Linked DNA regions of Pelodiscus sinensis. Each later gene encodes a partner of the first gene's protein in a complex. Links are inferred from orthologs where the notes say so. Each region holds a gene or a part of one and is shown on either strand. Other genes may lie near its edges. The genes, in order: SNAP25, RPH3A, SYT1 and VAMP3.

Evidence for each region.
Region 2: the proteins of SNAP25 (region 1) and RPH3A are in contact, whole or in part, in a crystal structure (PDB 5LOW), measured with the Rattus norvegicus proteins. The link is inferred for Pelodiscus sinensis from reciprocal best matches to the Homo sapiens genes SNAP25 and RPH3A. Residues at the interface, in NP_112253.1 of Rattus norvegicus: Glu38, Asp41, Ile44, Arg45, Leu47, Val48, Met49, Asp51, Glu52, Glu55; in NP_598202.2 of Rattus norvegicus: His617, Ser618, Ala621, Ile648, Ser649, Ala650, Lys651, Gly652, Leu655, Tyr659, Leu662, Lys663, Lys665.
Region 3: the proteins of SNAP25 (region 1) and SYT1 are in contact, whole or in part, in a crystal structure (PDB 5KJ8), measured with the Rattus norvegicus proteins. The link is inferred for Pelodiscus sinensis from reciprocal best matches to the Homo sapiens genes SNAP25 and SYT1. Residues at the interface, in NP_112253.1 of Rattus norvegicus: Lys40, Asp41, Ile44, Leu47, Val48, Asp51, Glu52, Glu55, Gln56, Arg59; in NP_001028852.2 of Rattus norvegicus: Cys277, Arg281, Lys288, Val292, Leu294, Glu295, Asn336, Tyr338, Asn340, Arg398, Arg399, Pro400, Ala402, Trp404.
Region 4: the proteins of SNAP25 (region 1) and VAMP3 are in contact, whole or in part, in a crystal structure (PDB 5KJ8), measured with the Rattus norvegicus proteins. The link is inferred for Pelodiscus sinensis from reciprocal best matches to the Homo sapiens genes SNAP25 and VAMP3. Residues at the interface, in NP_112253.1 of Rattus norvegicus: Asp147, Leu150, Glu151, Val153, Ser154, Ile157, Leu160, Arg161, Ala164, Leu165, Met167, Gly168, Ile171, Asp172, Gln174, Asn175, Ile178, Asp179, Ile181, Met182, Ala185, Asp186, Asn188, Lys189, Ile192, Ala195, Asn196, Ala199, Thr200, Met202; in NP_476438.1 of Rattus norvegicus: Ser15, Arg18, Leu19, Gln21, Thr22, Gln25, Val26, Glu28, Val29, Ile32, Met33, Asn36, Lys39, Val40, Glu42, Arg43, Lys46, Leu47, Glu49, Leu50, Arg53, Ala56, Leu57, Gly60, Ala61, Gln63, Phe64, Ser67, Leu71, Lys74.

The regions. Positions count from the first base shown.
Region 1 is NC_134713.1:189,935,141-189,943,139, forward strand, and holds the start of SNAP25 (synaptosomal-associated protein 25), read right to left. Parts: upstream 3,013-7,999; 5' UTR 2,879-3,012; intron 1-2,878.
Region 2 is NC_134725.1:35,604,051-35,611,334, forward strand, and holds the start of RPH3A (rabphilin-3A), read left to right. Parts: upstream 1-4,281; 5' UTR 4,282-4,469; intron 4,470-7,284. UniProt on the Homo sapiens protein: Plays an essential role in docking and fusion steps of regulated exocytosis.
Region 3 is NC_134711.1:69,980,082-69,987,053, forward strand, and holds the start of SYT1 (synaptotagmin-1), read left to right. Parts: upstream 1-3,960; 5' UTR 3,961-4,625; intron 4,626-6,972. UniProt on the Homo sapiens protein: Calcium sensor that participates in triggering neurotransmitter release at the synapse. May have a regulatory role in the membrane interactions during trafficking of synaptic vesicles at the active zone of the synapse.
Region 4 is NC_134733.1:25,559,924-25,566,859, forward strand, and holds the start of VAMP3 (vesicle-associated membrane protein 3), read left to right. Parts: upstream 1-3,927; 5' UTR 3,928-4,118; coding exon 4,119-4,120; intron 4,121-6,936. UniProt on the Homo sapiens protein: SNARE involved in vesicular transport from the late endosomes to the trans-Golgi network.

The DNA.
Region 1 (7,999 bases):
GAAGGGCAACACTTTCCTTTCTCCCTTCCTCTTCCCCGCTCGCCCTTAACTCTTGCTGCCTTTCCCATCTTTTTACTCTTTTTTTTTCTGTTTCTCTCCCTTGAAGGAGCACTGTGATCTCATCCTCACCTCCCTGGCAGCTACACATATCCCATGGCCCCTAAATGGTGTTACTGGACTCTCAGCCCTTGCTGGGAAGGGGCTGCAGTCCCGTCATTCTATCCAGCCAGCTAGTGTCATGGTGCCTGCAAAGGTCAAAATTGCCCTCACACCAGCACTGAAGTTTGAGCCACATTTTCCACCTCTGATGCTGACCAGCAGGAAAATTACAGTGCTTACTTATATAATGAAAGAGGTGCCCAGGCGCAAGCAATTAGGTTCAGGGACTTCAATATTTTTTTTATACTTTCAAAACAGAGGTGCCAGGGATCAACTCCACTGGCACAAATTAATCCCTGGAAAATTACCTTCCCTGCAACAGTAATAGTGGAGCAGTGGTCCTCCTCCACCCTTTGTGAGGTGCATTTCCAAGTCCTGCCTGCTCTGCGTAAAACCAGGCTGGAGCGCACCCAGCCTGGAGGAGAGAGCAAACCCGTCCTGTTCACCCACTGCTGGCAGCAGACAGAACCCAAACAGACATGACCGATTTCCTGCCAGGTCCTGCCTTTCTCCAAAGGCTGGAGCTGAAAGCCCAGGGTAAGAGGGGCAGGGGTCTTCTGGCTTCCCAACACTCTTTGATCTCCTTCCCCTTCAGGGTAGCCTGCCAGGCAGACCCAAGTGAATATACAGAGTCTGGTATACAATGTGAATTGTCCTGTTGGCTTGGTGAATGTGGCAGCAGGAGGCTGGAACAATCTGTGCATCCACTGACTTTGATCTTTATCTACTCAGGTTTAGCACCCTTTCTCTAGATACTTTATGCACAGAGGTAGGGAGTGGGTGACAGAACATCTTTCTTACCCCCCCCCCTTTCCCTTCTCCTATTTATTTCGAATTTCCTTATCCTCTAATCTTAACTCCGGTCATCTGAAGAAGTGGGCTGCGCCCATGAAAGCTCACGATCCCATCTACATGTTTCGTTAGTCTATAAAGTGCTACGAGACCCTTTGCTTGCTGGTTTTTTTCCCCTATAGGACAGAAGCCACTTCAAACGGGGGGAGGGGGGTTGGCAGCAAGGCGCCCTCCCCCCATGTCTATTTCCGGCCCCTCTGCATGGATGGTGGTTTTCTCCTGGGGGTCCTTCTGCATCTCCACTAGCCTCCGGCCTGTGCGGATGTGCCTCCAGCCACCCCCCTGGCATCACATGCTCCACCCCTGCAGGAGCCCAAGGAACGTGACGGCCACAATTCACCCAGGTTTTCCGAGCAGCCCAGGGGGAGACACTGGCCCCCGCCTCCTCCCTTGGGCGCCACTGCAGAGGCCCTCCCCCGGCGGGGAGCGAGCCCAGCCGCGCTTCACTAATGCCCGAGCAGCACGTCCAGGGGGCAGCCGCTCCAGCAGCGCAGCTTTGACGCAGCGACGCCAGGGAGCGGGCGGGACGTGCAGCAGCAGAGGCGGCCGATGAAGTTGAACCGGCCTCGCCCCCCCCGCTACCCCCCATCCCGCGGGCTCGCCCTGCAAAGCGACCCGCCCGGCCGCCTGCCTCGCGCTGGGCTCTGCCCCCGGGGGAGCGCGGCCCGGTTACATAAGGCGGCCCGCTCCGCTCGCGGGGCTCTGCAGTCCCCGGGCAGCTGGCGCGCGTGTGTGTTCAGTCCTAGGGCCAGGGGGGTTTCACACGGGACCCAGGCACAGGCTCGGCGCCGCGGGACTCTCCAAGGAGACTGCAGCCAGCGGGTCTCCGGGCAAGGGGGCGCACGGCCCGGGGGGAGACCCGGTCCGATCCCTACAGGCGGGGGTACATCCGCCCCCGTCCCGCCCCCTAGCTCCAGGGAGCCCTCCCGAGCGCTTTGCTTTCCCCGCACCCCTCCTGGTGCGTTAGAGCAGCAGAGCACGAGTGCCCGGGGCTCGCCTGCAAAGCACAAACACTACCCCCCCCCCCCCCCCCCCCGCTACCGGCAGCGCCGCGGGTTCGAGCCCCGGGCGAGCTCGCTGCGGCGGTGCAGCCGGGAAAAGCGGAGAGCCGAGCGGGCAAGCCCAGCCCGGGCTGCTGGATTCAGAGGCGGTACAGGGCTGGAGGGGGGAGGAAACTGGCGAGCGATTGATTTGGGCAGTCGACCGGGCTAGAGGGAAGCGCCTTGGGAAGGTACAAATAAGACCCGAACGGGCACTTCACCCCATAGCCCGCTGCCGTGGAGGTGATGGGGGTGGAAGGGCAGGCGGGGGAGGGCGTTTCTCCTTCACTCCCTCCCCAGGACTTTGCAGCGTGTCACAGGGACGCGGCTCCCTTTGCACCCGCGCTGATGCTGCACGGTGCTCACAGTCCCCCTAGCGCCCCTAAACTTGCGGCCCGGCGCTAGTCGCTCTCCAAGGTCCTGAACCGGGCTCTACCCCAGAGGCTGCAGGCGAGCGCCGCTGGCCAAGGTGCTGACCCTCCCCACACACACACACACACACTGCTGCAGTGGGCACAGGGCGACCGCCCGGTGCTGGAGGCTATTGACCCCAGGGAAACAGAGGTGCCACCTGCTCCCTGTCCCCCAAGGGAAGGGGGAATAATGCAGCGGTTATTGCATGTCCACTGCCCGCCCGGTGCACACAAGCCAGCTCCGCAGCCCGTTTTTTTGGGGTGGGGGGGAGGGAAGCCCCACAATCAGTCCCCGAGAAACAATGCTCGGACAGAAGGTGTGGAGGTTACCGCTCTCCTCCCCGCCTGCAGCAGCGGCCGTGCCCGCGGACACAGGCAGGAGACAAAAGGCTGTGTCCCGGCGCGCTCCCTTACCTTGGCTTTTGCAGGCAGGCTCCGGTGCAGGCAGCCCCGCGGCCGGTTCTCAGCCCGGCTGCTGCGGCTCCGGCTTGGGAGGAAAGGACAGTCGCTCCTGACCTCCCCAAGCCTCCTTCTTCAATGGAATGGGAGCTGTGCCCTCATCAAAGATGGCCGTCCCTTCCCACGTCAGCAGCTTTTAATAGACATCTATCAGGGGGTGGGGGGAGGAGAGGAAGTGGCGGGGGGAGGGGGGAGAGAGGCAGAGAGTAGTCTGCGCGAGCCTGAGGCGTCAGAGGCTGCTGCTGCAATCCTTTGCATTTCGCCTCCAGTTGACTAACAAGAGACGCCAGAGAAAACCACCCCCCAAATTAGCTCCGCAGAATCCAACCCGCCATGTGATGGGCTGGGATCTTCCAGGGTGCCCCATGCAGCCGCTGGTTTTCTGTGGCAAGCGGGGGGCCGATTGATGGTGTGTGTGTATAGGGAGGGGGGGGGTACTTTGCTGGAATCATTTTTTGGAGGGAGAGGAGAATGCAGTAGTGATTTGTTTTCGCTAAAGGGGTGGTCCGAGAAGGGTATCCCTGTGAAGTCTCTGGTACTCCATATATGGCCAGTCTACGTGGGTTGCTATTTTGGTGTGTGATTTCTTAGTTTTTTCCCCCTTCAGAGCATCATGCCAGGGGAAGGGGGGGGGGGGGTGTCTCTATGTATTAATCTGACCAATTTTCCTCCTAAAAACCAACCAACTCAAAGATACTCCAGATTTTAAAACACGCGAATTTTGTTATCTTTTCTGGGGGGGAAATCAGAGAGTAAAAGAAACCCGTCCCACCAGGGATGCAAATGGTTAATCCGTTCCAAGAGAAACGGGATGCTATTTGTTATTAATTAACGGCATGATCATTTCAGAGCGCACCTTATTTGGAACAAATCGAGCTGTCTTTATTTAATTTGAATGTTAGAAGTGGAAATTAAAAATGCGCTGGGGTTTTTGGTTTCCTACAAAATATTGGCTGTTTTTAAAATGAAGCATTAGTGTCGACTTCGTACCATCGACTAGAGCACGCATTTTATTCTATACAGAGTTGAGAGTTCTCTTATATAACTAGCCAGATCTGCAATTAAACAAACATAAACCAAGATGCTTCATTCATTTCCCAGGCTCAGCCATTCTTGTCAACAGGAACTATTCGGTGACGGCTCAGTGCGCATAAGGGAAATCCTGACTTTTTTCCCCCCAAACTAATGCGTGGATAATATTGAGTCAAAAAGCAACCCCCCGATTAGGGAACATTCTAACCTAATCAAGTTCGTATGGCGTGGCTGGGAAAACCCGGAGAGACTAAATGCTATGCAGCTGTATTTGCATCTCCTGTGATTGTCTGGTGGAGCGTGTGGGAGGGAAGAGAGAAAAGCCGGTGATTTCTCCTCCCATGCTCTGTTGTGCCCCACAGAAAAACGTGATTGTCGATCGTGCCTAGCAATCACAGCAGCTGGCATCCCCTCCCACGAAAATATGTCCTCTTTTGGAATAAGACATTCAAAAGTTTGCTAATTATACCACACAAAACATTCCCAGACAAGAGGGGCTCTTTGATAGAATATCCCATAATCTATGCACATGGAAGACCCAGGAGAGGAAAAAAACCTGCCAGTTTTAAGGTCTGCAATAATAATGATATTACATAATATAATGAATTATAATTAATGTCTGTATATCTCCTCTATCCAGTTAAGACATTTGGGAAAATATCCCTATTAATACTATTTAATAAGGAGATTTATTAACACAAATGCCAGTTTTGAAAAGCAAGCCATTTCTATCCCGGTCCTGTATGTTTTAACATTATCCATTGTTTTGCTTAGGTGAAGATTCTAGATAAAATCTAGAATGTTAAAAATACAGAGTCAGCAGGCACATTTATGAGAGTTTGTAAATTGTCAATAGAAATCTAAAGTAAAAAAAAATTAAACAGTCTATTAGACATGCACTTTGAAATGAAGTTTGATTTCCAGTGAAGCAGTTAATAAATAATGTGCAATAATTAACAATAAAGAAGTGAAACTAAAGGCAAGTTATAAACTGCTGCTTTGATTAGGTCAGTAGCACTGCAAAATCCTGATTGGTTTTGTGCCAAAGAATGCCTTTGAGGAGCACTAAAGCCCATTAGAATTAAACCAGGGATGAATTTGGTCCATTATATAAAAAGTTGGGAGGGGGAGAGGAAAGAGTGCTGTTGGCAACATAAAATTCAATGTTAGAAAAACTATGCAATTCCAACAGCAGACTTTGTGACAGGGGAAAAGAAGAGGAAATGTGCAAAAAGTGAGATGTCACAGATGGAGAATATCTTTATGCAGACAAAAGAATTATTACAAGTTCAATTGTAAGAAAATTGGATTGGAATATAAAATGAGCTTTCAAGCCCCACTGCACCACACTCATATTTTAATAAAACAAAGTGGGACAGTTTGATTAAATAGACCATGCACAATGACTGGTAGTTCTAATAAGAATAACCATCCATCTTGTTAAAAAATCTCAGAGGGGTAACCCTGTTAGTCTGTAACTTTAAAAACGAGTGGTCCTGTGGCACGTTAGAGACTAACCAAAATATATAGCATCAAGAGCTTTCCTGGGCAAAACTCACTTGTTTATGTCTAATGTTATATGGGTAAAGGATATGTTAGATGTTGTTTACAAAGGTGGAATAAGTTGTTCTGAGACATACAAGAAAGCAGCCTTTTGCAGCTAAGTACTAAGAAATCTATTGAAAGAAATGCTGCTAAGCAAATTTTAGCTGATTCAGTAACACTTTTGTGATACTCAGTTTAAAAAAATGAACTAGTGGGATGCATACCAGTTTATCATCTGTTTATGAAAACATTTAAATATTCATTGAATAGCAAATCTGAGAACTGATAGAAACGAGGCCTAAAAACAAGATAGCAGGAGAGACTGAAGAAAGGAACCGAAATTGGCTCCAGGAATGATTCAGCTATTCAGCCAGCTGAAGAGCTAGTGCATTCAGGCACAATCCATGAGTAATGAGAAAATGAACTTGCTTTGCTGGATGCAAATGTATATTATATTAACAGCATTCCTACATTATTGTCAGTGAGTCTACTGAGGATATTGAATGCAGAGCCTGTGAACACACTGATAGTGTGAAAACCACAACACTTTTGTTTCATACATCATTCAAGAATCAGAAAGATGGTGAAAGTTGTCCAGCTGGTTTAAATAAAATCTTTCCTCCTCTTCAGCCTCCTAAAATCAGAGTAGGCTGGGTAGAACTACACACAGATGCACACACACCTCTCTCCCTGCCTCCCTCACTGAAGTCAGACCCCCAAATAGACCCCCCAGATCATCCCCCTACATTTTCCAAGACTAACATTTTTGTGAATGGCTGTTTGTGGATGTATTTATTTGTGCTTGAAAATATATAAGCTGGTAGTAGATTCTCTGGACTTGCCAAGAAAGAGAAAGAGCTTTTCTCTTTTGGAATGTGAATTTTCACAGAGTAGTTGAATGTCTGAAGACACATCAGTTTCCGAACGTTGGCGCATAAAATGACGCAACGAAATACACATTTTGGCATCTATATGTAAGTGGCCTACTTTTTAGAGCTGCTAAGCAATAGGAGCTGTGCTTGTTCTGAAAATTGAGCCATTTTTATTTAGGTGCCCAGATATTGCCTGAGATCAGTGATGGGCAACTTAGGCTAGCGAAAGGGCTACGTAAGTGGCCCTCTGTCATCTCTGTGGGCCTCAAGACTATTGTAACCAAGACAGTCTCCCAGGATAGCGTAGTTTTGCGACCTGCGCTGGCATACCTAGAATTTGCAGGGTGTGCTGGCTAAACCATAGCAGCACTCTGATTGGATGCTCATGTCTCTGACAGTCAATGTTGCGTGCAATCAGCACGCACCTCATTTCATGTGTCCTTGTTTTACCTGAGTGTCACGTTAGCAATACCAGTAGGAAAAAAATGACACGGGCAGAAACAAGTGGAATCTGGCAACTCTGCATGTGGGCAAGGATAAACAAAATGTTTCACAGGCCACACATACTCCCAGAGGTGCTTAACATTATACATCCAAATTTTAACATTTTGCCTACACCAGATAATGCTTTTGAAAGAACAGGCAGTCAATTCCCCTTATTTTTTACTTTCTCATCAATATGATGAACTACTTTGCCATTTACATTTGTTTTGTGCCTGAATATTAGAGGAGCTGAGCATTGCCATGGGAGATGTAAGTGATCTGTATATCTCAGGATCAAGACCTTTATGTAGCTGCTTTGTATCTTACACTGAATTTGGTGGAGAGACATAAATGAGAGAAACAATTACTTACTCCAGGCTGTATGTGATTACATTTTCACTTGATCTAAGCTGTATTGTTTTTACACCTTCAGTAATATATTATTTTCAAAGAGTTAATCTGCAGTTGCTTACTCAAGATTCAACCCAGCACATTTGCATACCCAAGATTCAGTTCAACCTTATTTAGTGAATATGTAAACAGAATTTTCAGTTTAAATCTCTATTGTATGGCCTGCTTTAATGCCCAATGAAATGAGTGGACAGATTTCCATTGACTTCCCTGTGCCCTAGCTAAAGAGAGGAAGCATTCTAGCTTAAGGTACTAGCTTAGGACTTGGGAGACCCTGGTTCAAGTCCTTGCTCTACCAGGGACTTCTTGTGTGACTTCGGGCAAGTCATTTAGGGTATGTCTACACTACCCCCCTAGTTCGAGCTAGGGGGGTAATGTATGCATACCGAACTTGCTAATGAAGCCCAGGATTTGAATTTCCCGGGCTTCATTAGCATAAAGCCGACGCCGCCATTTTTAAAAGCCGGCTAGTGCGAACCCCATGCCGCGTGTAGCCGCGCGGCACGGGGTTCGCACTAGCCGGCTTTTAAAAATGGCGGCGCCGGCTTTATGCTAATGAAGCCCGGGAAATTCAAATCCCGGGCTTCATTAGCAAGTTCGGTATGCATACATTACCCCCCTAGTTCGAACTAGGGGGGTAGTGTAGACATACCCTCAGTCTCTTGGTGCCTCAGTGCTCTATCTGTAACATTGGGTTACCAGTACAAGGGTGTTGTGAGAGTGTATTAAAGAT
Region 2 (7,284 bases), on another chromosome or scaffold:
ACAGGATCCAGAAGAACCATAAAATGAAAATAACACCAACCATTATTGACATGGTAACTTGTGCAGGTTTTGGTGGTGTAGACACTCAGCACTGGGCTGAGCCTGTCAAATTCATTTTATGTATTGCAGCATTTTTTGCATGATCAGAGTATTTAATTCTTTTAGGGAAAAGAGAAGGGGAAAGCTTCCTTCCTCTGGAAACTTGAAAAATAACTGACAGAGGAAGATTGTAGCTCTTGCTCTTAACTGTAGCAAGAGTGTACTACACTGTAATTTCTTGGAGTAGATTTATGAATACCCTAGTAGAAATTGCTCACAGATTTAGCTTGTACCTTGTTTTCTTCTCTCCTCTGGATTTCAATTTAGGGAAATTTTCCTACTCTGACAAAACCTCTTGAAATGAAGAGCAAAGGAACAAACTGAAGATGAGAGTGGGCAAAAAGGAGCTAGGTTGAGCTCTCCAGAAACTTGAAAGGGAAAACAAATAACCATAACAACGTGAAGTGCAAAATATGACCTGGAAACAAACAATATATATCACTCCTAGACTCACCAGTGGTTGAATACATTGAACAAATTGTTCATGGCATTGTTCTGGTTCATAGCTAAGTTTGGAGTTTCCAGTATCTCAATTAAAGATGTCCTTTTATATGGGACACATAACTGATATTTATAATGCTCTACTAGTTCAAATATTTGGTCCCCTTTACGGGACCAAAAGTCAACTTGAGCAGAATAATGGTTGTCTCATGTATGAAATGCAAAGAGCAGATGAAGCCAAGAAGAAAACCGTTTTTAAAGTAAAAAATAAAATTGACACCATAGAAATAAAAGCAGCTGGATTATCCAATATGTAAATTGACTAGGGATAAGCCAGAAAAGGAGTATGCAAAACAAAACAAAACAAAACCAAACCCAGGAAGGAAAAGACTGTGTGTTGCTCTGCAGGTATCCAAAATCTCACTGTATGTATTCTTTTGTGTGATGACTGACAGCCTTGAAGTTCTGATATCTTGACTGCCCCCATTCAAATTAGCAATCCCATGAACACTACATTGGTCACAAGGAATGTGAGGAAATACTCATCTTTTGGACAGTGGATGAATTCGCTTTGTGATTTGGCAGGAGCAGCAGTAAAGAAAAGAGTAGAGAGAGGACATTATAGCCCAGCCTCTGCTTAGATACATGGGAAATGGACAGTCCTAACTGAATGAGAGTGAGATTTGCCTGTAACCACAGGAGAAAAGTTTGCAGATTATCTATAACCACAGGCACATGTCTGCAGTATTGGTGTACATGAAACTACTTTCCGTGAGGTAGGTGCCCATGTTTTCTTATTTTGTAACTGGGTACTTCATCTTCATATGTTTAAATTTCACTCACTGAACTTCCACCATTAAGGTTTCTGAATAGAGATCAGAATCTGGCCCATGATTCAATTTTGTTTCCATTAGCATGAGCCTCAAAAGCCAAACCTCTTTTTTGAAGCTTAAAATGACAAAAGGGTTGTAGAGCAGCTAGCCTTAAAAAGAGGGAGAGGAAATTAATGCTTCTCTCTGATTGTCAAGCCAATAATCTTGAAAAACTGAATTGCACATTTGTTTGCTTTTTGTTTTAGTGATGAGGATTTTGTGTCTAAGGACTAGCCCATATGAGGGGAGAGTCTCATCTCGAATCAGTCAGTATTCTTCCCATAATAGACAGATGCTCCTATATCCAGATTCTCATACATAAGGAAGTAGGCACCTGCATATCTCTAGTAACAATTCTGATTGGTTTCTCTAGGCAGAAAATCTCTTTCCAAACCATTGTATACACAAGACAAACCAAGGAAAAACTGGAATATTACTGCCAAAAGAGACTGGCAGACATTCACATGAGATTATTTCTTGTGTTTCTGGCCAGCCTCTGATTGGGAGCAGGGCCCCTTGCTGGGCATGAGCATTTGCTGTAAGTTAATGATTGCTGAGTGATTTTAAAAAGGAAATAATTGTTGCACATTGTTGTAGGTTAAGCTTTTTTTGGGACAGGGAGTATATTGTAGTATATATTCATACAGTTCCTGGAGCAAAAAAGCCCTTGAGTTGAGGCCTTAAGAGGCTACCACAATAAAAAGCCTAATGAAAATAATATAGTCTGTTCCTGGGACTCAGCAGTGAGTGTGAAAACCATGATGAATTTGCCCAGCACCTTTTTGGCTATGGGGAGGGACCATTTGCCCCTTGCTGCTATGGTGGATGGGGGATATGTATAAAAAGTAGGATTTATGACCGTGGTGGGCAACCTGTGGCTCATCAGAGTTCTATGTGTGGTCCACAAGACATTTTGTTTGCCATTGCCCATGTGCAGGGATGCCAGATTCTGCTGAGTTTCATCCGCATTGTTTTCTTCCTACTCGTATTACAAAAGTGACACACACTTATTACTGATTTAAATGGTTGCAATGGAAAACAGATCAAAGTGCATTACCAAGCCAAAATAAACAAAACAGGCCAGCTAATCTTCACTTACTGCAAAACTTATTATATGCAAATTCTTACCCTAACAGTTGTTCCGATTATCCCTTTAGGCAACCTTCTAGCTTGAGCCCAGTCCTGCCCCGTGTTCAGTATTAAATGTTTCCAGCAGGTATGTTGGGTGGTAACTCCAGGGTCTCCTGGAATCTGGCCATTCCCAATATTGTTTGGTTTCCTCATTATATCCTTTTTGCCCAAGGTGGGAATTCTTTGTGCTCACTTCAAACTTTTCTCACCTTGAGTGGAAAAGCACCAAATCCAAAATAGATTACAGCATCAGGTAGCCTGACCACATGTTTTTAATAGGACCAACCACAATTTGGACTTACAGAAAAATAAAACCATTCACAGGCTATTGACCTGATCACCAACTCATCAAGTTCCTAAAGTTTCACTCATGGCTCTTTCTAGAATACCTGGAGTAATGAAACAGATATCACAGACAAGAAGGCCACATGCACAACAACAGATATACAGATTCAGTGGATTACAACTTTTAAAATGATATGTTACATGATCTGTTTTGCATAAAGTGTCTGAACTATGCATATTCATATTCATAAGCCAATTATGTCAAAGCATGGGGGGGCTCTGTGACATCATGCTCTAGCCTTGACCCCGCCCTCAGAGCCAGCACCCCTCCTCTTGCACCCCTGAACCTCAAATCCCTGCCCCAGCCCAGAAAAAGTAAATGAGGGTAGGGGGAAAGGAGAGTAACAGAGGGGGATGGAGTGAGCACAGGTAGGGATGTAAGCTAGTATTTGCTTTCCACCCTCCTGGCTGCCTCTGTATCAGAGGCAGCAAGGGGCTGGGAAACAGAAACCGATGCTTAGGGGAGGTAGCTTAAAAGCTGGTTCCCCCCAGCACCATCTCTGTGATGCTGCCTTCCTCCCCCTACACCCTGCTGCTGTCTCTATCAGAGGCAACAGCAGGATGGGCAGGGGAGGCTGCTGCAAAACAGCCTCTGTCCTTGGGGGGTGGGAGGTCACACGTAGACAGGGCTGCTTCCTGCATGCTTGACTCCTACTACATTTAAACTGCAGAGCCACAGCGGGGTAGCCCCTACAGTACAAATTGTATTGACTACTCAATTAGTCAATTACCTGCCTCTTAATATCCTTAAGCAGATCTTTGCAGAAAGGGTGAGGCTTGAGGGACAGGACAGGGTGGAACTTGAGCTGCCCTTAAATTCCAAAAGCGATCTTGGGCATAAATAGGTTAGGGACCTCTGAGCATAAGCTCAGCACGGGGCTGTTGTGTATGTAGATGGTGATACAGACTCTTGAGTGCAGTCTTGGGGTACATTCTCTGCCCATTATTTCATCAATAGGGGAGGCAGGGAAGGTCAGATTAGATGATCTAACAGTTTCTTCTGGTCTTAAAGTCTGCATATCTCTCCAGAATTGTGCGTGGCACTGAGCAGCCATTGATGTTCCCATGTGTAGCCTGCTTGATCCCCAGAATTAACACTGAGTGAGTGAGGGTGGCACAGGAGCGCCTGGCACTGGCCACTGTTAGCACATAGGATACTGGCCTAGATAGACCTTTGGTCTGACCCAGTATGGCCATTCTTATGTTCTTATGTTTTAAGAGAAGCAGGAGTTGGCCAGGGACAGGACATTAGCTCTGCAGGGCAGGCGTGGGTGTGGCAGTGACATCACAAGGGCCTTTTTCAGCCTCTCATCTGATTGGCTAAAGGCAGTTGGGTGGTGGGGACTTCACAGAAAGACCATGACATCAGCCTGGTGGGACTGGCTGCAGGGCTGGGGCAATCTCAGAGACCCTCCTGACTTTGCTAGGGGAGACGTCTTTTGAGGTCTGCCTTCGAGGTCTGAGAGAATTCAGGGTGATGGCATGAGCACAAGGAGGAGGCTCCTTGGGGGGTTTGGCCTTTCCCATGACTAATTGAGCTAGATGACAAACATCCCTGAGGAGAAAGTAAATCTACGAGAGGTTTGTTACTAATGCAGCCTGATCCATCTGATGCTGGCCAAATTGAAGGCCAGGAAACACACTAAGGCTACATCTGCACTGCAGAGCTATTTCAGGATACCGGAAGTATCCCAAAATAGCTATTCCATGTCTTTAAAGCAGCCTGTTATTTTGAAACAGATTTTGAAATAATGGATGCACTATTCTGGCGTAGTGCAAATTGCATAGCTTGTTTCGAGGTAAGAGTGCTGTGTAGATGCAACCTGGGTGAAGGTGGGAGAATTTTTTCCCACCTAGACCTTTGTCCCTCATCACTGGAGGCATCGGAGTTCATCGTATTTGGTTTTCCTTCGGTGAGGAGGGGGCTGTTCCTTGACAAAGGGATGGGACGGGAAGAATGCTCTGAGTGACTCCCACTGGTGACCTGAGCCATCTCTGGGCCATTTGAGGGGAACCCACAACTGCCCTGCCCTCAGAGTCTCAGTGATGATTGGCTCAGTGGGAGAGGGGGCAGGACAGTGACCAGGAGGAGACTCAGGACTTTTGTTGTTCTCTTTAAGGCCTGGCAAATGAGACAGAACGAATCATCAACGGGGAACTGTCCTGCTCCTCACCATTGATTATCTCTGATCAGTTCCTAAGCCCCTTCCCCACCACCGACATTCTTCTGCTTCTAAAACATTTGGGCTGTGTCTACATTGGCACCCTTTTCCAGAAAAGGGATGCTAATGAGACAAGTCAGAATTGCAAATGCCGTGGGGGATTTAAATATCCCCCGCGGCATTTGCATGAACATGGCTGCCGCTTTTTTCCGGCTCGGGGTTTTGCAGGAGAAAAGCGCCAGTCTAGACGGGATCTTTCGGAAAATAAAGCCTTTTCCGGAAGATCCCTTATTCCTATTAAAATCAGGAATAAGGGATCTTCCGGAAAAGGCTTTATTTTCCGAAAGATCCCGTCTAGACTGGCGCTTTTCTCTGGCAAAGCCCCAAGCCGGAAAAAAGTGGCAGCCATGTTCATGCAAATGCCGTGGGGGATATTTAAATCCCCCGTGGCATTTGCAATTCCGACTTGTCTCATTAGCATCCCTTTTCCGGAAAAGGGTGCCAATGTAGACACAGCCATGCTGAATGATCATTAGGACGAGTTGTGGGTCTGTAGCGCCTTGAGATCACTTTACTCGGATCATTCAGTATGTGAAACTCCAGACTGAAAGCCAGGGCTTCCGAGTCCTGTTCCCAGTGTTGCCCCAACTGTCCATGTGACCTAAGATAAAGCCCTTTGCCTTCCTCAGCCTTTGTTTTCCCCTCTGTCAATTAGGTGCAACTATGTTCTCTAACTGTGTCATGGCTGGGGAGCTGTGATGATCCATCTGAGAGCGTAGCCAGGAACAATGTATCATGTAAGGTGGCTTCTCACATGGAGTCATTACAGGACCAGCTTTCCATGTTAACCCAGCAACACAGGCTCGGAAGGCACACTGTGTTTCTCCTCACACTTTCTTATTCTCCTCATGATTGTCTGAATTTTTGATGATCTGATCTGGCCTCGGTCCCAATTCGATGTGATAAATGGGGCTCTGCTGTATAATAGCTGAAATAGTCAATTTTATTGGTATTTTATTATGTTTAGATCATTAAGAGGAGCAACTCCTTAACCCGGGCCAAAGCATCTTTCCGACTTTCTGAACCAAAGAGTCTCCTCTCTGTGTGTGAGGAGACAACCAAACAGTATATGACAAACAGGAGAGGCTTTTCTTTTGTTTAAAAAAAAAACTTTTTGCAAAGAATTTTCATCCATATTGAGTCATGATTTCAAAAACCAATGTGTCCAATGAGAGGTGCGCCACTTCTGTAACTCCCCACAGAGGTGAGGCTGGATGAGAGAATGGGCATTAAAGCACTGTATGGAGGAGAAAGGGCTGTTTCATGGTGTTGCATGCCAAGGCATCTGGAATTTGCTAAAGAGTCTAGCCCAAAGAAAGAAGAAATGGCCGGGGACAAAGCCCACTGTAGGGTGTCAATGAGAGAGGCCAGAGCGTGTGTCTGAGGTCTCCCCAGTGCTTCACACACCTCACTGTGCTTTGACCCCTGCATCTTGGCAGGGGGCCCCCAGAGAGGAGGAGTAGGAGGCCATTTTGCCTCAACACTGGGTAGGCCTGGAAAGGAGAGACTGGAAGATCCAATTTTCAGCCTCTCCTGCTTGCTGGGATCCCACTGGGCTCTCCTCATTCAGAGCAGTTAGTTCCCCCCGCTCCCAGGAGCCCCTTCCCTGTGGCTGGCCCTGAGCAACACAATGCCAGGCGCTTGGTGCATCCAAGCCCATTTCCCAGTGTGGGTGCTGGAGGGAGATGCAAGGGGTCAGGGATGAAGGTGGCACATGCAGATGAGGGCCCAGAGTGGAAGGACAAGGGAGGGGGGCACATGCAGGAAGGGCAGGAGTTGGGGCGAAGGCGGCACCATGCAGAGGTTAGAGGCGAAGAGGGAACAGGGCAGGGATTAAGGGTACAGTGTAGGCATTAGGGTGCTGCAGGGGAGCAAGAGTCAGTGTGATGGAGTGCAGAACTTAAGGAGCCTATGGGTGTCAGGGGAAATAAGGGAACACCATGTTCATAGGATCATCAAAATTCAAATTTGCTCAGAGTGCTATTTTCCCTAAGGCTGGCCCTGACCCTCCATACTACAACCTCCTGACTCCTGCATACCCACAACCATCCTGTCCTGAGCCCCCACCTCTGCTTTGATTCCTGCACCCCCCATGCCACCCTGCATCCTGTACTCCCACCTCCACAACCTCTGGCTTGAGCTACCACCTTCCCCCCACAAACACCTCAATCCCC
Region 3 (6,972 bases), on another chromosome or scaffold:
ACAGGAAACTATATGGCCTAGGAAGGCTTAAGAATGAGCACAGTGATGTATGTTGTGGCAGTGTGCTGTGCCATCATGGGTTTTTTTCCACCTTGGTATGAATCTTATAAGGAGTGCTGCATGTTTGATACAACATAAAAAATGCACCTATTGCTGTTATCTGTGAATAATGTCAGCCCCAGCTACCATATGTTGCAGACTAATAAAGATGAATTAAGTTTCCATAAATAGATTTTTATTCTGAACCTAAGCAAACAGACTTATTTAAAACTGAATGAAACTTTACAAATACAAGCAAAAGTAACTTTGAAGAGGAAAGAAGAGTCACTTTCATTTCAGTGAACATCCTTGGTGGAGGTATAGAAGGGGTGTTGCTGCTAACAATGAACTGAAGCTGTTTGTCTCCATTACATTTTGGTTTGCCTGCTACAGCTCCTTGATCTTCACATAGCACTGCTTCATGTCCTTTCATAGCCCTTCTCCCCCATTCCCCAAGTGATGTAGCTATAGATGTTGACTTTTCTATGGCTGTATCAGAGCTGTGCCTGCACAGCCTCCTCTCCCCATGAAGTCAGGAGATCCACCACTAGGGCTACGTCTACACTGGCCCCTTTTCCGGAAGGGGCATGTAAATTTCAGCAGTCGTCGTAGGGAAATCCGCGGGGGATTTAAATATCCCCCGCGGCATTTAAATAAAAATGTCCGCCGCTTTTTTCCGGCTTTTAAAAAAGCCGGAAAAGAGCGTCTAGACTGGCCCCGATCCTCCGGAAAAAGTGCCCTTTTCCGGAGGCTCTTATTCCTACTTCAAAGTAGGAATAAAAGCCTCCGGAAAAGGGCACTTTTTCCGGAGGATCGGGGCCAGTCTAGACGCTCTTTTCCGGCTTTTTTAAAAGCCGGAAAAAAGCGGCGGACATTTTTATTTAAATGCCGCGGGGGATATTTAAATCCCCCGCGGATTTCCCTACGACGACTGCTGAAATTTACATGCCCCTTCCGGAAAAGGGGCTAGTGTAGACGTAGCCTAGGGGTTTAGTTTCTATGATTTATTACTCACATGATCTTGTTCACATCTAAAAATGGCTGACAAAATCTTAGCCTAATCCTAAGCAAGTCCTGTGGGTTGCCTCTCTAGACTTGTTGCAGGACTTGTTTTTTCTCATAGCTATAAGAATTCCTTAGGGACTTTTTTGCAATTGAGAGCACTCTTTATGGCTGAACACTCACCTTGTTCCCCAGATGAGAGGGGGGTAGTGGACAGATGTTCAGTAGAGGAGTGAAGTTTGCTTAAGGTAATAGAGACATCACTCCATAGGCTAAATAATGTTTTGTCCTAGGCTCTTTTGACTGGGTTAGAGAGGGAGCATGATGCAAATGCCCACCACACCATCACACACACATAGGCTATGTCTACACTGGCATGATCTTGCGCAAGAACTCTTTTGCGGAAGAGTTCTTATGCAAAAACTCTTCCAGAAGAGAGCATCTACACTGGCATGTGCATTTGCGCAAGAGCATCCATGCCAGTGTAGACGCTCTCTTGCGCAAGAAAGCTCTGATGGCCATTTTAACCATAGGGCTTTCTTGTGCAAGAAATTCATGTTGCCTGTCTGCACTGGCCTCTTGCGCAAGAGGGCTTATTCCTGTGTGGGAGCTTCAGAGTTCTTGCGCAAGAAGCACTGATTTCATACATTAGAATGACAGTGTACTTGCGCAAGAACTCGCAGCCAGTGTAGACAGGCAGCAAGTTTTTCACAAGATCGCACCAATGTAGACACAGCCATAGCTCCTAGCCAATATGTCCTTTCCTAAAACAAAGAAAACTTCCTATGGATAGCCCCTAAGATAGGCAAGGAGAACTATGTAGCTCTCATGCAGCCCTGTCCAGATGTACTAATTTTTGTTCCTTTCTTTCTGCATCATGGGAGGGGTGCATTGGGTTTAAATCACATAAATGAAACACTGCTCAAGCATGAAGGACCTGAGGCTCCATTCCTGTGCACACAAAATTCCCACTGACTTTATTGTGCATGTGTGAGGGTGTCAGGGATGCAATGTTGCATCTTTAAAATTATTGGCACTGAGCTAGTCAGCTTTCTTTTAACTCACCAAGTAAATGCCATATAAAAAGCAGCTGGCAGTGTCTTTTGATCTGGAGATAGAACAGCAGTTTTGTGGACACTGGAAATAGGTTTGTCATTTTGGTTCTGAAATTTGTTAAATGCCACATTTCTCTCCCTCTGTGGTGCACTAGGTGGGTAAAAGCAGCCCCCCCCCCCCCCATCATGGTTTAACACATCTGTAGAAGAAACAGTCACACTTTGGCTGCTAGACCTGGAGAGTATGGGTACATATACACTAGCTCATTAGTTTGAGCTAGGTGGGGTAATTAGGGCAAGCGGAGTTGCAAATGAAGGCTGGGATTTAAAGATCCCGGGCTTCATTTGCATGTTCCCGGGTGCCGCCATTTTTAAATCCCCCTTAGTCCGAACTCCGTGCCCGCGGCTAGACGCGGCAAGGAGTAGGTAGTTTGAATTAAACTGCTTCCACGAGGAATAACGATAGTTTGAATTAGGATCTTTAATTCGAACTACCTACTCCGTAGCCGCGGGCACGGAGTTCAGACTAAGGGAGATTTAAAAATGGCAGCACCCAGAAACATGCAAATGAAGCCTGGGATCTTTAAATCCCGGGCTACATTTGCAACTCCGCTTGCCCTAATTACCCTGCCTTGCTCGAACTAATGAGCTAGTGTAGATGTACCCTATAAGAGGGAGCAATCTAACACTGATGGGGACAAACAGCATATATTCTAACAATGGGGCACAGCCATGGGTCCTCCATTCAACAACACCACTAGAGAAAGAGGACTATCCCATTTTCTGAAGTTGTAGTAAGACTCATTGCTGACCAAACTTCCAAGGGCAGATGAGGCATTATGACTTCCTCCACTACCTCTGGTGGGCTCCCCCTCCTTGCCCTTTTTCCCAAAGCTAGATGCCATAATTTACATCATATATGTTAACACATCTTTCACTAGGCATTCTAAATAAAAGCAGGCAAGTAATTATGGAATATACTGCCATTCATTAAAGCTTTTATATAATAACTGTCATCGCCAAACTGTGGTGTGGATTAGGATTCATCTTTGCACCTGGTGTGGTACCTTTAACCTATGAAAAGGAATGGCATTCTATTAATGTGACATTATTATTTATAGAATTTTGTAAATGAAATAACATTTTCCAGTTGGCAATTTTGAGAAATCCTGTAATTCTTGACACCCTGTAATTTACATTCAGTAATAATGTAATTTAGGCAGGAAGGAACCTTATTCTTTTTATATCCATTATTTATATTTTAACAGCCAAATTTATATCTAGATCTACCTCCATTTCCCTTTGGAACTTCCGAGTTACTCTTTATGTTATATTAAACATTAGACAAAGAGGACAGGTCTAATTAAAAGTTGAAGAAATGTACTGCTGTTAATTGAATTTGTGGTACAGTTACATTTTGCAGACCAATGTTAATCAAAGCTCCGGTTCAGAGTGGACGGAGCTGGGGAATTAAGTTCGCTCTTATATTTCCTTACCTGAAAACGCCAATAAAAAGTGCTCTGTAAAAAGAAAAAAACCCAAACAACAGACAGAACTCAATGCATGGCGAATTTTATGTGCAGCCATTGATGAGCTGGTCCTGCCCACAAGCCCCTCAACGCCGCAGGGCTGGAAAACGCTCCTCCAGAAGGCAATTTTTTTTAAAAGTATTTAAAAGGGGCCAGAGAAAAGAACAAGTTCACCAGCTCAGTTTGCGTCTGGAGAGCAGCAGCCATCGCCTCTCCGGCTCTGCTTCTGGTTAAGGATCTATCTGACTCTTTGACTTTTATTAGCGCCTTTGGCTCCTGCTCACCTCTCGGCCCCATCCCCCACCTCCTGCTTCTCCCTGCCTGTGTCTCTCTTTGTGGTCGGTAAATGCCACACTAGAAATTGCCTGAAGTCCCAGGGGGTGGGGCGAATCAGGTCACCCAGCCGGCTCTATTTCCAGCGCCCAGCTTGCCGCGCTGCTGGGGGGGTCATCACTTTGCCGGGCCAGAGGACTGATTTGATGTCCTTGATTGTCATTCGCAGGGAACTCCCTCCCAGCCCCCTTGCCCGCTGGGGGGGACAGAGCCTCGCACATCCCTGGGCTGGGCGCTGCCGACTAAGCAGGTCCACCTATTATTGTTGCAGCCGGATTGGATGGCGGAGGCAGCATCCCCGCCTCTCGGCCAATCAGGCGGCCGGGGCGGTGGGGAGGGGGTGATGGGCTGCCTCGCGCTGGAGGGATTCCTGGAGAAGCTGCAGTGTGGTGATGCTCTACAAGCTGCACAGCCCCCAGTATCTCGCCTCCTCCGCCGCCCAGCCAGCAGCAGCTGAAACTTAACACCCCACGCCAAGCGAGCCCGCTCAGAGCAGGGGGGTGCACAGACTTGCTGGTGGATGTGGGAGGTCTGCCCCCCCCCCGCCCAGCACACCTTTTTGTATCGCAGCCTCCTCCCGGGAGAGACAGAGCGCGCGCGTGTGATTCCTACTAGACAAGGAGGCGAGAGCAGCGAAGGACAAACAGACTCCTGCCCTGGTTGCCAGGTAAGGCAGAGGCTTGAGTGCTTCTGCTGGATCTGCCTGCAATGTTTGCTGTCTTGCAGTGACTTGGATGGTGTGGTTACCGTAGCGGGGGAGGGGTGTTGAGAGGCACAGGGAAAGAGAGGGAGACCCAGGTGGTCCATTGTGTGGGCGGTGATGAGAGCGCACATGTTCCTGGTAACCGATGCCGGAAAACAATTTGTCCGGTGTCTCCTGATTTGGGTTGAATTCTGGCAGACCTCAGCCACCCAGCGTTTCTCCCTCCACAGAGAAGGCTGCTTTCCCGTCAGCTGGAAAGAGGCATGGGAGGGGTGGGATTCTGCAGGGTAAAAGAAACTGGAGGCAAAAAAAACCCCAAAACAAAAACAAAACTGAACCTAAAGCAATCAAACTGCTTACAAGAGAGTAATCAAATCCTCGAGCTCCTGCTGTCAGAGAGGGAAAGCAGCTTGACTTTACTCGTCTTCCGAGTGGATCTGCCTTTCACTTGACTTCTTCAGCTAGAAATAAATATATGTGTTGATTTTTATAAAAGTGTCTGTCACCTTCTTTTACCCCCTCTTGCATGACTGTTTGACACTGGGGGAAAAGAGTTTCAATAGCAACAACTTGTAACCTCAAGTCACAAAATACAGAAGGAATCCTTCCCAAGATTTGCCTGCACTCTCTGAACAGATAATGTTCTTATTAAGACTTGTTGTTTGAAGCATTGGTGTTGTTCTCAAAGCACTGTTCCCTGGAGGACCTGCTTCTCTGATGGTAGAGGACTAAATTAATCCTCTTTGTATTGAAGGTGTTTTTTTTTACTTAATTAAATGCCGTGGTGCCTGCTTCCCTTTCTTAGAAAAAGCTGACAAATTAATTTTCTTTAGATTTTTTCAAATAATTACACCTCTTTCCTCCTCTCTGTATGCCTCTTTCTCCTTGGTTTCTACTATATTACACTCTATATCATGTAGGCACAGAGAGTGCAAATATGGATTCAAGACTGTTTAAAAGTTAAATGAGTGTTACCTTAGGCACCTCCCACATTACAAAAAGTTTAGGGACTAAAGTCAAAAAGTGGCACAAATGTTTAATATTTTTTCATAAGAAATGGTGATTTTTTTCTTGTTTCAAGTCTTGTCTGAAATCTTTATTTTAAAACTACAAGCTTCTAGCCCTGAGTAGAGTAAGTAAATTAAATATATTCATTGGAATGAGCCTTTATGGCAGTTTTAACAAGTATAATTCAATCATCACTGATACAAGCTGCCTTTTACCATTATTCATCAGACCCAGCTGAGTGATTCCTGTCAGATGGGAAGTGGTAAAGAGAAATCTCTAGGTAAATGTAACTGGAAAGCTTTCCAAGTGGAGTCCTAAATGAGCACAGAAAAGCACTTGGCCACAATCTGCAGACAGATGTTAGAGTACAAATAAATCTTTTTCTTTTGATTGTCAGGGGGAAGACAAGTCTTATTTTTCTTACTTAATATCTATTTGTGAGTGAAGAAGAGGGATCTCTGTGCTTAGATGACTATGACCTTGTATATTTAGTGTAAAATGTTGTATTTCAGTAGTATTTTCCTGTCTTTCAAATGCTGAATTCTCCACACAAATGTCAGCACGGTAATTTTAGACACACATGTGTTGTTGCTCATGAGTAGACCCTCATTCTGGAAACTGCATATTGATCCTCTGAACAGATGTACCCTCCTTTGCCATTCATGTTTCATGTTCATCTTTCTTGTGCATTTTAAAATGTACTTTTTCATCTAGAAGAGTTATTTCTTCTTCAAAACCAGATGCTACCAGCAGTTGTATACCTAAGAGGAGACTTTTCTCCTTGTAGAGTGGCATCCACAGTTACATAATGTAATTGTTTTTGGGGTGATCTCCTATCAATATTTAAAAGCACATTACATATAACCTTCCTGTTGTGTGTGTGTGTGTGTGGTTTTTTTTTAAGAAATGGCAGCTTTTGGCTACAATGACCAATGGGCAATACATTTAATTTACCTTTAATGTGGTGTATGTGTAGAGGATGAAATTAATAATGTTAAAATGGTCAGAGAGGAAAAGGATAAAGAAATTCTTTCTATTTCTTCTTATTATTAGTCAGATTAGTATATTCTTGCTTTTATTGGAAAAAATAAAACTTGACCTGGTTTTATGTTTGTGAGACCTTTTTTCCTCCAAGACTAGCAATTGTAGTTCTGCTAGTAGTGTCCAAAAGGAACATAACTCAATATTGTATGTTAGTTGACTGTAATGTAGTTCCTCAAAATTTCAATGTATGTGGTTCATAAATTGAAAAGTATGTAGCTTAAAAACTATATAGCTTTAAAACATAGTGCAGACAACTTGA
Region 4 (6,936 bases), on another chromosome or scaffold:
CCCCCCCCGGGACACACAGACACCCGCCCCCGCCTGTCCCCCCCCCGGGACACACAGACACCCGCCCCCGCCTGTCCCCCCCCCAGGGACACACAGACACCCGACCCCCCGCCTGTCCCCCCCCCCAGGGACACACAGACACCCGCCCCCGCCTGTCCCCCCCAGGACACACAGACACCCGCCCCCGCCTGTCCCCCCCCCCAGGGACACACAGACACCCGCCCCCGCCTGTCCCCCCCCCGGGACACACAGACACCCGCCCCCGCCTGTCCTCCCCCGGGACACACAGACACCCGCCCCCGCCTGTCCCCCCCCCAGGGACACACAGACACCCGCCCCCGCCTGTCCCCCCCCCCAGGGGACACAGACACCCGCCCCCGCCTGTCCCCCCCCGGGACACACAGACACCCGCCCCCGCCTGTCCCCCCCCGGACACACAGACACCCGCCCCCGCCTGTCCCCCCCCCGGGACACACAGACACCCGCCCCCGCCTGTCCCCCCCCGGACACACAGACACCCGCCCCCGCCTGTCTCCCCCCGGACACACAGACACCCGCCCCCGCCTGTCCCCCCCGGGACACACAGACACCCGCCCCCGCCTGTCCCCCCCGGACACACAGACACCCGCCCCCGCCTGTCCCCCCCCCGGACACACAGACACCCGCCCCCGCCTGTCTCCCCCGGACACACAGACACCCGCCCCCGCCTGTCCCCCCCCCGGGACACACAGACACCGCCCCCGCCTGTCCCCCCCCGGACACACAGACACCCGCCCCCGCCTGTCTCCCCCCGGACACACAGACACCCGCCCCCGCCTGTCCCCCCCGGGACACACAGACACCCGCCCCCGCCTGTCCCCCCCCGGACACACAGACACCCGCCCCCCGCCTGTCCCCCCCCGGACACACAGACACCCGCCCCCGCCTGTCCCCCCCCGGACACACAGACACCCGCCCCCGCCTGTCCCCCCCCGGACACACAGACACCCGCCCCCGCCTGTCCCCCCCCCGGACACACAGACACCCGCCCCCGCCTGTCCCCCCCGGGACACACAGACACCCGCCCCCGCCTGTTCCCCCCCCGGGACACACAGACACCCGCCCCCCGCCTGTTCCCCCCCCCGGGACACACAGACACCCGCCCCCGCCTGTCCCCCCCCGGACACACAGACACCCGCCCCCGCCTGTCCCCCCCCCGGGACACACAGACACCCGCCCCCGCCTGTCCCCCCCCAGGGACACACAGACACCCGCCCCCGCCTGTCCCCCCCCCGGACACACAGACACCCGCCCCCGCCTGTCCCCCCGGGACACACAGACACCCGCCCCCGCCTGTCCCCCCCCGGACACACAGACACCCGCCCCCGCCTGTCCCCCCCCGGGACACACAGACACCCGCCCCCGCCTGTCCCCCCCCGGACACACAGACACCCGCCCCCGCCTGTCCCCCCCCCGGGACACACAGACACCCGCCCCCGCCTGTTCCCCCCCCCAGGGACACACAGACACCCGCCCCCGCCTGTCCCCCCCCGGGACACACAGACACCCGCCCCCGCCTGTCCCCCCCGGACACACAGACACCCGCCCCCGCCTGTCCCCCCCCGGACACACAGACACCCGCCCCCGCCTGTCCCCCCCCGGGACACACAGACACCCGCCCCCGCCTGTCCCCCCCGGACACACAGACACCCGCCCCCGCCTGTCCCCCCCCGGACACACAGACACCCGCCCCCGCCTGTCTCCCCCCGGACACACAGACACCCGCCCCCGCCTGTCCCCCCCCGGGACACACAGACACCCGCCCCCGCCTGTCCCCCCCCGGACACACAGACACCCGCCCCCGCCTGTCCCCCCCCGGACACACAGACACCCGCCCCCGCCTGTCCCCCCCCGGACACACAGACACCCCGCCCCGCCTGTCTCCCCCCGGACACACAGACACCCGCCCCGCCTGTCCCCCCCGGACACACAGACACCCGCCCCCGCCTGTCCCCCCCCGGACACACAGACACCCGCCCCCGCCTGTTCCCCCCCCGGGACACACAGACACCCGCCCCCGCCTGTTCCCCCCCCCGGGACACACAGACACCCGCCCCCGCCTGTCCCCCCCCGGACACACAGACACCCGCCCCCGCCTGTCCCCCCCCCGGGACACACAGACACCCGCCCCCGCCTGTTCCCCCCCCCAGGGACACACAGACACCCGCCCCCGCCTGTTCCCCCCCCCAGGGACACACAGACACCCGCCCCCGCCTGTCCCCCCCCGGGACACACAGACACCCGCCCCCGCCTGTCCCCCCCGGACACACAGACACCCGCCCCCGCCTGTTCCCCCCCCCCCAGGACACACAGACACCCGCCCCCGCCTGTTCCCCCCCCCCCGGGACACACAGACACCCGCCCCCCGCCTGTTCCCCCCCCCCGGGACACACAGACACCCGCCCCCGCCTGTTCCCCCCCCCGGGACACACAGACACCCGCCCCCCGCCTGTTCCCCCCCCCCCGGGACACACAGACACCCGCCCCCGCCTGTTCCCCCCCCCGGGACACACAGACACCCGCCCCCGCCTGTCCCCCCCCCCGGGACACACAGACACCCGCCCCCCGCCTGTTCCCCCCCCCGGGACACACAGACACCCGCCCCCGCCTGTCCCCCCCCCGGGACACACAGACACCCGCCCCCGCCTGTCCCCCCCCCATGGACACACAGACACCCGCCCCCCGCCTGTCCCCCCCCCCGGGACACACAGACACCCGCCCCCGCCTGTTCCCCCCCCCGGGACACACAGACACCCGCCCCCGCCTGTTCCCCCCCCCCGGGACACACAGACACCCGCCCCCGCCTGTTCCCCCCCCCGGGACACACAGACACCCGCCCCCGCCTGTTCCCCCCCCCGGGGACACACAGACACCCGCCCCCGCCTGTCCTCCCTCCCGGGACACACAGACACCCGCCCCCACCTGTCCCCCCCCCCCCGGGGACACACAGACACCCGCCCCCGCCTGTCCCCCCCCCCCGGGGACACACAGACACCCGCCCCCGCCTGTTCCCCCCCCCGGGACACACAGACACCTGCCCCCGCCTGTCCCCCCCACCCCCCCCGGGACACACAGACACCCGCCCCCGCCTGTTCCCCCCCCCGGGACACACAGACACCCGCCCCCGCCTGTCCCCCCCCCCCCGGGGACACACAGACACCCGCCCCCGCCTGTCCCCCCCCCGGGACACACAGACACCCGCCCCCGCCTGTCCCCCCCCGGGACACACAGACACCCGCCCCCGCCTGTCCCCCCCCGGGACACACAGACACCCGCCCCCGCCTGTTCCCCCCCCCCAGGACACACAGACACCCGCCCCCGCCTGTTCCCCCCCCCGGGATACACAGACACCCGCCCCCCGCCTGTTCCCCCCCCCGGGACACACAGACACCCGCCCCCGCCTGTTCCCCCCCCCGGGACACACAGACACCCGCCCCCGCCTGTCCCCCCCCCCGGGACACACAGACACCCGCCCCCGCCTGTTCCCCCCCCCGGGACACACAGACACCCGCCCCCGCCTGTTCCCCCCCCCAGGGACACACAGACACCCGCCCCCGCCTGTCCCCCCCCCCGGGACACACAGACACCCGCCCCCGCCTGTCCCCCCCCCCCGGGGACACACAGACACCCGCCCCCGCCTGTCCCCCCCACCCCCCCCGGGGACACACAGACACCCGCCCCCGCCTGTTCCCCCCCCCCGGGACTCACAGACACCCGCCCCCGCCTGTCCCCCCCCGGACACACAGACACCCGCCCCCGCCTGTCCCCCCCCCCCCGGGGACACACAGACACCCGCCCCCGCCTGTCCCCCCCACCCCCCCCGGGACACACAGGAGCCCGAAGCCCCCGCCCCCTGCCCCTACAGTGCCCAAGGCAGCAGGCGCAGGCGCAGGCGCACGCGGCGAGCACGCGATGTTCGGGAGCAGTCGGTGGGCGGGGCTGGGGGCGGGGCGTGTCCGACCCCGCCCCCCCAACCGTCACATCCGGACCGCGCCCGCCTGCCCCGCGGCGGTTTCCGGTGCAGTGCTGTGTGTCGCCTCGCGCCGTTAGACTCCCCCGCAGAGGCTCGCGCCGCCGCCATGTGAGTGCGGGGCCCGGGGAGGGTGTGACGGGCCCTGCGGCCGCCCAGCTCTCGGCGGTTGCTGGGGGGCGTCTGGGGGGGGCCAGGCTCGGGCTACACGGGGGGGCGCGTCTGGGGGGGCGGCCAGGCTCGGGCTACACGGGGGGGGCCGCGTCTGGGGGGGGCCAGGCTCGGGCTACACGGGGGGGGGCGCGTCTGGGGGGGGCCAGGCTCGGGCTACACGGGGGGGGCCGCGTCTGGGGGGGGCCAGGCTCGGGCTACACGGGGGGGGGCGCGTCTGGGGGGGGCCAGGCTCGGGCTACACGGGAGAGGCGTGTCTGGGGGGGGCCAGGCTCGGGCTACATGGGGGGGCGTGTCTGGGGGGGGCCAGGCTCGGGCTACATGGGGGGGGGCGCGTCTGGGGGGGCGGCCAGGCTCGGGCTACATGGGGGGGGCGCGTCTGGGGGGGCGGCCAGGCTCGGGCTACATGGGGGGGGCGCGTCTGGGGGGGCGGCCAGGCTCGGGATACATGGGGGGGCGCGTGGGGGGGGCCAGGCTCGGGATACACGGGGGGGGCTGCGTCTGTGGGGGGCCAGGCTCGGGCTACATGGGGGGGGCGCGTCTGGGGGGGCGGCCAGGCTCGGGCTACACGGGGGGGGCGCGTCTGGGGGGGCGGCCAGGCTCGGGCTACATGGGGGGGGCGCGTCTGGGGGGGTGGCCAGGCTCGGGCTACATGGGGGGGCGCGTCTGGGGGGGGCCAGGCTCGGGCTACACGGGGGGGGCGCGTCTGGGGGGGGCCAGGCTCGGGCTACATGGGGGGGGCGCGTCTGGGGGGGGCCAGGCTCGGGCTACATGGGGGGGGCGCGTCTGGGGGGGGCCAGGCTCGGGCTACACGGTGCCTCATTTAGGTGGCTGCTCTTGGCCTGCAGCCAAGTGGACACGGGCAGGCTCCCTACTTGCCGGGCCCTTGTGGTCAGCTGCAAGGGCCACGGGCAGGTGGCCCCCACCACAGCCAGCCACTTTGAGCAACTTGGGTGGAGGCAGCGCACAGGGAGTCTGCCTGAAGCCCCTGCTAGTCCACAGCATGGTACTGGGTCGGATCTTGCAGTTTTCTGGGCCATATTTTGCCTGCCCCTGTATTAGGGTGACAGAAATTTAGATGGGATTGGTCCTGCCTAGAGCAGGGGGCTGGACTTGATGACCTTCTGAGGTCTCTTCCAGTTCTATGATAAGGGGTTGGTTTGAGAACATGATCTTGGTAACTAATTGACCATTCATTATCAGTGGGAATAGGCCAATGGAGGGATGATAGGAGTTACTCTAGAGAACTTTCTGGGTGTCTGGCTGGTGAGTCTTGCCCACATGCTCAGGCTTTAGCTGATCGCCATATTTGGGGTCGGGAAGGAATTTTCCTCTAGGGTAGATTGGCAGAGGCCCTGGAGGTTTTTCGCCTTCCTCTGTAGCATGGGGCACAGATAACAGCTGGAGGATTCTCTGCATCTTGGGGCCTTCAAAGTATTTGAAGGCTTCAATATCTGAGATCTAGGTGAGAGGATTATTCTGGGAGGGGTGGGTGAGATTCTGTGGCCTGCACTGTTCAGGGGATCAGACTAGATGATCATAATGGTCCCTTCTGACCTTAAAGTCTGAGTCAAAAAAGTCTTTATTTCTAGATAGTGTGCAGAGATGGTGTAAACTCTGGTTCTGCTTTGACTCCATGACTGATGGCTGTGAAATAAACAAAGGCATTCATCTGAGCCACTAGCTAGTGAGGGAGCCTTTTAAACAAAAGAAAGGTATAGCCTTTTGTTTCTTTGGCCTAGCTGGTTGAGGGAGAGGTATTGTGGGGATTTTTTGTTTTCTTTTGGTTTTGTGCTGTTTTCTTTTATGAATTAAACATGGTAATTTGGTGTTGTTTTTAAAATGTCACAGTGTGATGGAGTATCTTCTAAATTGGCCTCCGCAGGGTGTTTATAGTGACTTTGAGGATTCCTGTGGCACTTTGGAGACTAACAGACTTGTTAGGGCATAAGCTTTCATGGGTAAAACTCACTTCATCAGATGTATTGGAGTGGAATTTACTGAGGGAGGGGCTGTGTGTGTGTGTGTGTGTGTGTAGATATATGCACACACAATTTGCACACATACAACAAACGAGGGTACTTGTGTAAAATGAGGCTAATTGAGTCAGAGTGGGGTAGTGCTTTCCCTTATCAACTAATTGTGTTGAGCGTGACCAGGAACAGGTAACAGGAGAGTTTGGAGAGGGAGTTCTCCAGGTAAAAGAGGAGTAAAAACGGGACTCTTGTGGTAAGTGGCTGTCTGGAGTGTGTGTTTGTGTGGGGGGGAGTTTGCAGTGTGCTGAGCTTGTGTTTGTCTGTTTGGTTTGTTTGTTTGAAGGAGCTTCTAAAAGGTTTGAAATCTAGAAGCCTCTGTTAATTGGCCGAGCCTCAGGCAGGGGGAGGGACTACCAGAGCTATATAAGCCTGTGACTCAGCGACCAGGGAGAGCATGACCAGGAACAGGTAACAGGAGAGTTTGGAGAGGGAGTTTAGAGGGCACTAGTGACTTGTGTCCTTCTTTAAAACCTAACTCTTAGAATAATCTATACTCCAGAAGTTTAAAAAGAATCCCAGTTTATACTTAAACTTATTCATTACAAACATGGAGACAGAAGCCCAGCAGCAGAGTGGGGGCTATCCTGTTTATTGCGTCCAGTGTAACATGTACGATTACCTGCCCTGTGGGCAGGTGGCGTATGTGTGCAGCCATTGCAAGGAGCTCCTGACCCTCAGAGACCGAGTTCGGGCTTTGGAGGACAGGGTGGCTGAACTGGA